Tribolium castaneum: one gene and its partner. The protein of the gene in region 2 purifies or fractionates together with the protein of the main gene of each other region. This does not show direct contact. Links are inferred from orthologs where the notes say so. Each region holds a gene or a part of one and is shown on either strand. Other genes may lie near its edges. The genes, in order: SkpA and M-phase inducer phosphatase.

What was found.
Region 1: the proteins of M-phase inducer phosphatase (region 2) and SkpA purify together in Homo sapiens (affinity purification with western blotting; 6 studies listed by BioGRID and IntAct, with this or other methods). This does not show direct contact. The link is inferred for Tribolium castaneum from reciprocal best matches to the Homo sapiens genes CDC25A and SKP1.

The regions. Positions count from the first base shown.
Region 1 is NC_087402.1:1,039,169-1,041,939, forward strand, and holds SkpA (S-phase kinase-associated protein 1), read right to left. Parts: upstream 1,231-2,771; 5' UTR 1,153-1,230; coding exon 664-1,152; 3' UTR 571-663; downstream 1-570. Other genes in the region: uncharacterized protein LOC103312555, read left to right, coding at 1,515-1,517, 1,749-1,888, 1,937-2,011, 2,059-2,212; mitochondrial ornithine transporter 1, read right to left, coding at 2,319-2,632. UniProt on the Homo sapiens protein: Essential component of the SCF (SKP1-CUL1-F-box protein) ubiquitin ligase complex, which mediates the ubiquitination of proteins involved in cell cycle progression, signal transduction and transcription.
Region 2 is NC_087403.1:1,088,548-1,093,158, forward strand, and holds M-phase inducer phosphatase, read left to right. Parts: upstream 1-1,674; 5' UTR 1,675-1,825; coding exon 1,826-1,878; intron 1,879-2,181; coding exon 2,182-3,201; intron 3,202-3,257; coding exon 3,258-3,525; 3' UTR 3,526-4,162; downstream 4,163-4,611. Other genes in the region: protein D3, read left to right, coding at 4,463-4,563. UniProt on the Homo sapiens protein: Tyrosine protein phosphatase which functions as a dosage-dependent inducer of mitotic progression. Directly dephosphorylates CDK1 and stimulates its kinase activity. Also dephosphorylates CDK2 in complex with cyclin-E, in vitro.

The DNA of each region.
Region 1 (2,771 bases), on a different chromosome or scaffold from region 2:
AGAATTGGCAAGAAACCAGGTCAGTGGTTTAGCTCGTAATTCGGGGTCCCTTTGTGACACTGAAGTTACGTGCCCAAAATGACACCTTAACGTCATAATCTCAATTTGCACACTACAAATTGAATTTCCTTAATCCTAACACAATTCCAGTTTAATGAGCCGTGATGATGATTGTGACTGCGACGTTTTGGAAACGAAACAGAAGCTCAAACACATCAAATGCAAAATTATTAAATTAATGAATGAACAACTATCCAAGTCGGAAAATTTCGTGGAGGATGAAATCAAGCGAAATGGGTGTTTTACCCGAGGGTTAGTTGTGGTTAAAAAGCTGCCAATTAATTGCGAGTTGTAGGTGTTGGTGGTCCTTGTGTTCCTCCAGGACGTGGCTGTACTTTTTAGGGTTTTTAACGATGATATTTGTAGCGGTTTTAATGGGGGCGTTTATGGGGGCCCGCATTTGCGGGAACGAGGCGGGGTCTTGCGATGATTATGGCGTATTTTAACACTTGTATACTATATTTTATCCGACACCTATTATAATTGGTTAAGGTGCAAATAAACAACCAGTTGGGTCGAAATGGCGTTTGATTTAAATAATCATATTACAATAAAACAATGAACGCAATTTTGGAAATAATCTTAAATAAAAAAAATACGAGTTTACTTCTCCTCACACCATTCGTTCTCCTTGCGCACTTGCTCCTCCTCGGAGGCTGTGAAGTCGTTCTTGATGTTGAAAGTCTTGCGGATCTCCTCGGGGGCCTTGCCCTTGATCATGTTGGCGACTGTCTTGCAAGTCACATCGAGCAGCCCCTTGATGTCCAGGTAATTCGCCGCCAGGATCAGCTCAAACAAAGTGCCTTGGTCCACTTTGAGAAAATCGGCGTCCCATGACGAAATATCATCCGTGCGTTTCTCCTTGTTCTCGTCGTCTTCGGGCGGTGGAGGATCATCTTTGTGATAAGTGGACCACTGGATAACTTTCTTCAAAATCGCCGAATTGACATTGGGGAGAGGCACCACTTCCTCTTCCTCCTCGTCCATCCCCAGGTCCTCCAGCATGGTCTTGATGGTCACTGAACATTTCGCGATCTCCACGTCCACCTCGAACGTTTCACCGTCGGAGGAACGCAGTTTAATATTCGGCATTTTTCACGGTTTTTCTTCGATGACAGAATATGACAATAGACGGCAATAATGGTGGATGACAGGTGTAACGCGCAAGCGTCCCCACACGGGCGCCAGATTCGAACCAATTGTTATAAACAAATTAATTCAAAACGAGTTATTGCAGCAAATACGCAATGACGCGGCAAAATTTTCATCAAAACACGTAGCGCGTTATTTGCCTCGGATAATGTAATATGGGAAGAGCCGCAATATAAAGCTTAATTGTGCGTTAAAATTGTTGCACTTGGTTTGCGCAAGACCCCGCTCTTGATTTAAAAGAGGTGGCCCAAGAATTTGGGAGCCAGATTGTCCGTCTTCACCGCCTGTCTCCAAGCCAAACAATGGTAAGTCTGTCTGAGTCGTCTTTTTTGATTTTCTCCTTATCACCCTCTTTCTTACACATTATTTTGAAATTTTTGCGATAACACTCTTTATTGCATAAAAACAACTAATTGTAACAATCTGACGCAACAATTGACCGAATCTTTATTACTTGAAAACTTCCAATTCTTATCTAACTTGACTTCTCAAGTGTTTTGGAGCAAAACACAAACAAATTGTTATCTGATTTTTAGGGTTCCACAACAATGAAAAAGTCCATTACGGACCACCGAATCACTTTGTTGTTATTCGTCAGCATTATTTTCCTATCTATTGAAATTACCCACGGGGCTTTGGTCAAAAACCCCAACTTGCTGAAAAAAAATCATTGCAGGTACTAATTACATAATATCAGGTTTATTTAATTAATTAATTATTTAAGGACACACATTTTTTCTCCCGTGTGCCGCGGGCAGCAAAAGCGAGACATTTTAAGCCGTCTCAGTGACGAGTACAGGTAGTCATTAAAACAATTAAAGTGCAAAAGTTTGATTCATTTGTTAGGGTGCCAGCCCTGGATTCCGATTTTTCGGGGATTGACCGGTCCCGCGATTTCCCTACAATCCTTAACAGTCCGAGTCTTTTCGGGGAACTACTGAAAAAAGCCATAGAATCGTCCCCCGAGTTCGATCCCGAAAATAGCAATTATCTGAAGTGAGGAGAATAATAAAAGACAGGCCGGACAGTATTACCCCAGTATTCCTATTTATTTATTTATTGGATAAAAATAAAATATAAAAACTATGTTCGAGTTTTATTTCTAATCAGAAAATTTGGTGGAGGAATCTTTTGGAATACTCGTAAGTTGCAAAAAGAGTGGCAGTGGATGGAATAGTCCGAACTAACGTTGGAGTCAACCCGTTATAAAGCTGTCTGAAGCCTTCCCGCCTCGATATTTGCAAAATCATTGCAACCATATTCATTTTACTATTAGTGACTTGAATCCGACTTTTGGCCACATCGACTGGATAAGTCAACGTCCAGAAAGACATGCCCCCCAAAGCCCCCGCCACCATTGTCTTAAACAAGCCTATATCGTCCTTGGACTCCCCCGGACGCGCTAGCAAAGTCCTAGTCCCTAAATCACACAGTTACCAACTTGCCGAAGGGCCCATGGCTTCGCAATTAAGTTGGCAACATGAAAACTACGTAACTGTTTTCAAATCACTCAACGGTACCTGAGCACTGCCAACTTAATTTCGAAGTCACGGGTCACT
Region 2 (4,611 bases):
TTATTTGTAATTTTCTGCAGTTAGGTTGAGTCCTTCCTGGAGCTGCTTTCTAATGAGGGTGTTTGCCTTCTCGAAAAGCAGCCTTGGTTATTTTTAACCCGAAAATCCTCTGATATTCCGCGTCGGTGATAACCGTTGGTCGGAATTTACTTTCTCCCGAGCTGCGAAACGATAAGATAACTAATTACTTTCGAAGAAGCAATTCTTTTATGTTTGGACAGTCTGAAAGTGAATAGATTTTGTGTAAATTATGCAAATTGGTCCATTCCCTGGCCACTTTGAGATGAAGGGATGACCTAAACAGGTAGAGGTGGGAACGTCGGCAATTTGCCGGGATAAAGGTAAATTTTCCTGTATCCAGTCTGCGCATTTCGCACAATGATCCAATTGTTCGGCCAGTTCCCATGTCACTTACAGGGAACGTATTATTCTCACGCGAATGATCCTCTGATCTCTTCCTATCGGAGGCATACAGTATAACTCTCACTCTGATAACGCTATATTCAGGTTTCAGAACGGTCTTAAATGCCAATTCAACACATTCTATACTTATCACACACATGCCTCAAATATAAATATTTCTCGGCGTCATACACCACAACCAAAAATTTTATTCATGTGCTGACTTCATTTGCTCCCATTTCCTTCGATTAGGATAAACAAAACTGTATCAATTTTAAATAAATAAATTTATCAACATGTGCTATAGTTCAATGTGATACATAAATATCAAACTGAAATGCAAAAAGAACTGACCGCTCAACAGCTGCCAAGGAAGAAAGATACTCAACTTCATAACTATTTAGCTCGCTATGCTCACTCAAGGATAACAATTTTCAGATCAGATTCTGAGCCTCGGCAACCAAATGTTTAACCAGACTTCAATAAAGTCTGAAACATGAATCCATAAGTGAACAGTATTCTGATTCGGAAATTTGAAAAGAAAAATCGAATTTTAGAGCAGTAAAAATCCATTTATTTATTCCATATAAAGCAAAGTGAAATAAAACAGTAACAAAACTCACTAATTATAAATATGCCAAATGCCTAGCTTATTTCAAAATAATGCAAATAATGCATTTTTTGAATTTATCAGCATCTGTTGCGTACTGGCCATTTATTTATTTATTATTTTCACCGACAATTTATTAGTTTAACACAATTTATTTATCTTATTGATCCACTATTATTTTCACCAAAAAATAAAATTAAACTGAAATGCTGATAACACATTTGTACCGAAACATCAAGTGAATAAATCGCAGAACATTTATCTAGGAATTTTGAACTTCCTCACATGAATAAACATTTGCGTTTTTTCGATGCGAAAGAGGGGAATAAATCAAAAAATTGGAGATGTACAAACAGAAATAAATTTAATTCTGAATAAATAACAAATCGGATAAAATAAATTTGGCTAATTCGGAATTCTCGCTGTCCGGTCTATTAATATTTAAATATTACGTGATTAATTCCAAATATATCACGCGGGTTCGCACGCTGTTTTTTCCCAAGACCCGTTCCAAATTAGGCGCAAGTTTTGTAAAGAAACTGGATTTTTTCCAAAAATGCGGAAAGGGTGTATGGTAAAAATTTTCATTCCCAGGCGCCCCTCCCTTGCTTTCTTTTGGCGCCCTTGCCCTATCCCTACTCCCCACCGACGATGTGGGGACGAGCTGTAATAGGATAAAGACTGAGGTAGGCTACCTTCACTTCCAAGTCGCGTTTGTGTGGTGTGCGAGGACGTATCGTCCTGGTTTGAGTGCTTGTTGCTTGTGTTAGATTTTAAGACGTTTTAAGGATATTTCACCGCTTTCTTCCGACAATGTGGGATTCGATAAGCACGGATTCTTGTGATGTCTGCCAGTGCCCCCCAAGGTAATTGCCGTGCGGTTTTCAGCCCCTTCGCGATTTCGCGAACAACCCCCGAACCACTTATCAGTTTATCATAATTTTGTGGATTACGTATGCACAGTTGACGCGTTTTTCCCCGATAGTAATTTTTTGGGCCTGCGGTTGGGCGTTTTTTTGACCCTGCGTTTTTTGGGTGATAAAGGTGACAAGGACACTCAAAATTCAGTTTGCTGGTTTCGGGCGGGAAACGCCGTTTTTGCATTTTCGGGGGGACAGGTCCGGAACTGCTCGTTTTGTTTGATTAATTCAAGGCCGTTTTTGTTTCAGATCGAAACGAGGGGACGATTCTTGTTTGGATAAAGAAAATATTCAGCAAGCGTTAAGTCCGGTCAAAATAGAAGAGTTATCGTTTTACGGAAATTCGAGTCCTCCGGCAATAATCTGCTCCGGGACTTCACCGAATCACTGCAACCACAATATAATAACTCGGCGCCCCCTTGAGGACCACGACCCCAATTCGCGCGATTCCGGTTACGTTGCTAATTACAATGAGGGTAAATTCTCGACTTATGCTTCCCCGACTCGGGGGTCGTTCGAACTGGCCTCGATCGGGTCCATGGAGGACGAGTTTTTCGAGGATTTTTCCGATATTGAGCCCTTGGAGGACAACTTGCCGCAGGATTTCGGGAAATTGATCACTGGACCGATCAATTTCCAGAACCGGAAAGAGACACCGACTTCGCCGAGGGATCTAGTAATTCGGCCCTTATTTCGAAGGGCTTTGTCCTTGCAAACTGAAAGGACGCCGCCAAGCAGGGTCAGGTCTTGCCTCTTCAAAACAACAGAATCTCGCCCGTTTAAGAGACCAGAACCGCCGCAAGGATTCGAAAGCCCAAATTCGAAAAAACAGAAAATTGAGGATGAGGAAGCCGCTGTTCCAGTCGCAAGGCCTGTGCTTCAGAGATGCGTGTCTGCGACGGAGGAGAGTATAAAGTTTGCGGTCCAGAGGTCATTCGTGGAGCCAGACCTCATCGGTGACTTCAGCAAGACGTTTTGTTTGCCCTTAACGCAAGGCCGTCATCAGGACTTGAAGTGCATCACTGCTGACACTTTGGCCAAACTAATCCGTGGTGACTTTAGCGGAAACGTCGCCTCTTACAAAGTTATCGATTGCCGGTACCCTTACGAGTACAAGGGTGGCCATATTGACGGCGCCATTAACGTCTACACCAAGGAGCAGTGCATGGAACTATTAACTAACGTCGCCTCTGCGAGCAAGGAGCCGCGCAAAAGGAGCAATATCCTGGTTTTCCATTGCGAGTTTTCGAGCAAGCGGGGTCCAGATTTGTAAGTTTTGCTTCTGGAGGGTTGTATCGCCGTGCTAATGATGTTTTTGCTTCCAGATATCGGTATTTGCGTGAGCAGGACCGCCAGCTCAACCAGGACGTCTACCCTTCGTTGCACTACCCCGAAGTCTACCTACTTGAGGGTGGCTATAAGAAGTTCTTCGAGGAATATTCCGACCTCTGCGTTCCTATAGCCTACACGGAGATGCTGCACCCGGAATATGAGAATGAGTTGCGACATTTCCGGCTCAAATCCAAAACCTGGAATGCTGATACGCGTCAACGGTCCGGGTGCCGTCACAATTTGAAAAGACTAGGACTGTAAATATCGAATCCCAGTGCCAAAATTTGTGAGATAGTACAAAATACAAGTGCGCGGACTTGTTTGCCAAATGATATGTACAAAGTAATGTGCTATATTAGCATGTATCCTGAAGACTTAGTCTTCTTAGTGTATATTACAACTGTATATAAGAGAGTACCTAAATAGCTTGCTCCAGAGTAGTTGAGATGAGATCTTTCCTTTTGCAATGCTAAACCACCAAAGTTTTCTTTTTGTTATTTAGACAGTCGACGGATCATCCTGGTCCCCCTTTAATTTATTTTTTATGTGCAATTTGAACAGCAATAACGATGTGATGTTGCATTTCTTTACCAGTACATTATGCTTCCTTGCTGTTGCGCTGGTGTTTGTTTGCAGATTTTTTATGTTCATTTTATTAGTTTAGTATAGTCTAAGTGTCAGTATTGTTTTTGTATCCTTCAGCATATTCAAATGTGTTCGAATGCAACGGCTGGGGATTTTATACTACTTGAATGTGATTTGTTCACTATTTGGACGGACTGATGCTTACCCATCCGTTGCATCATAGATTTTTAAAGTGATACTTAATATTATAGATCTGTACAATATTTTAATATTTTTATAACTTATGATAATACATTTTTGTTCCACATCAAAACGAACTTTCTTTACCCTTGCACAACAAATTCGTTATTTTGCATCGGTTATTTACCGCTAGAAAGCTACAACGCGCCATCTACCAATCAGCGGGAAAAATCCGACTTGCCTTCCTAGAAAAATTTAACCGTTGAAGTGCCGTAATATTTTCACAAGTACATCATAACTGGCCGTCAGATTTAAAACAGTTAAGTGGCAGTTAGTGAAATCACCACCAATTAAAAGAATTAAAGAAACAAATTTATGAAGCGACATCTATCAAGCTGTAGCTAAATATATTGCGTAATAGATTATGTAATGCATGCTTCCATTTTCCAACAATAGGTGTCAGCCTATGACGACAACAGCCGGCATTTTTCTGTCATTTTTGCAACTTGTGATTGTGTTCTGGAAAGATCTTAGGTGAGTTTTTGTGATTAACCCTTGTCGTGTGTAGAGGCCCCAGAAAAT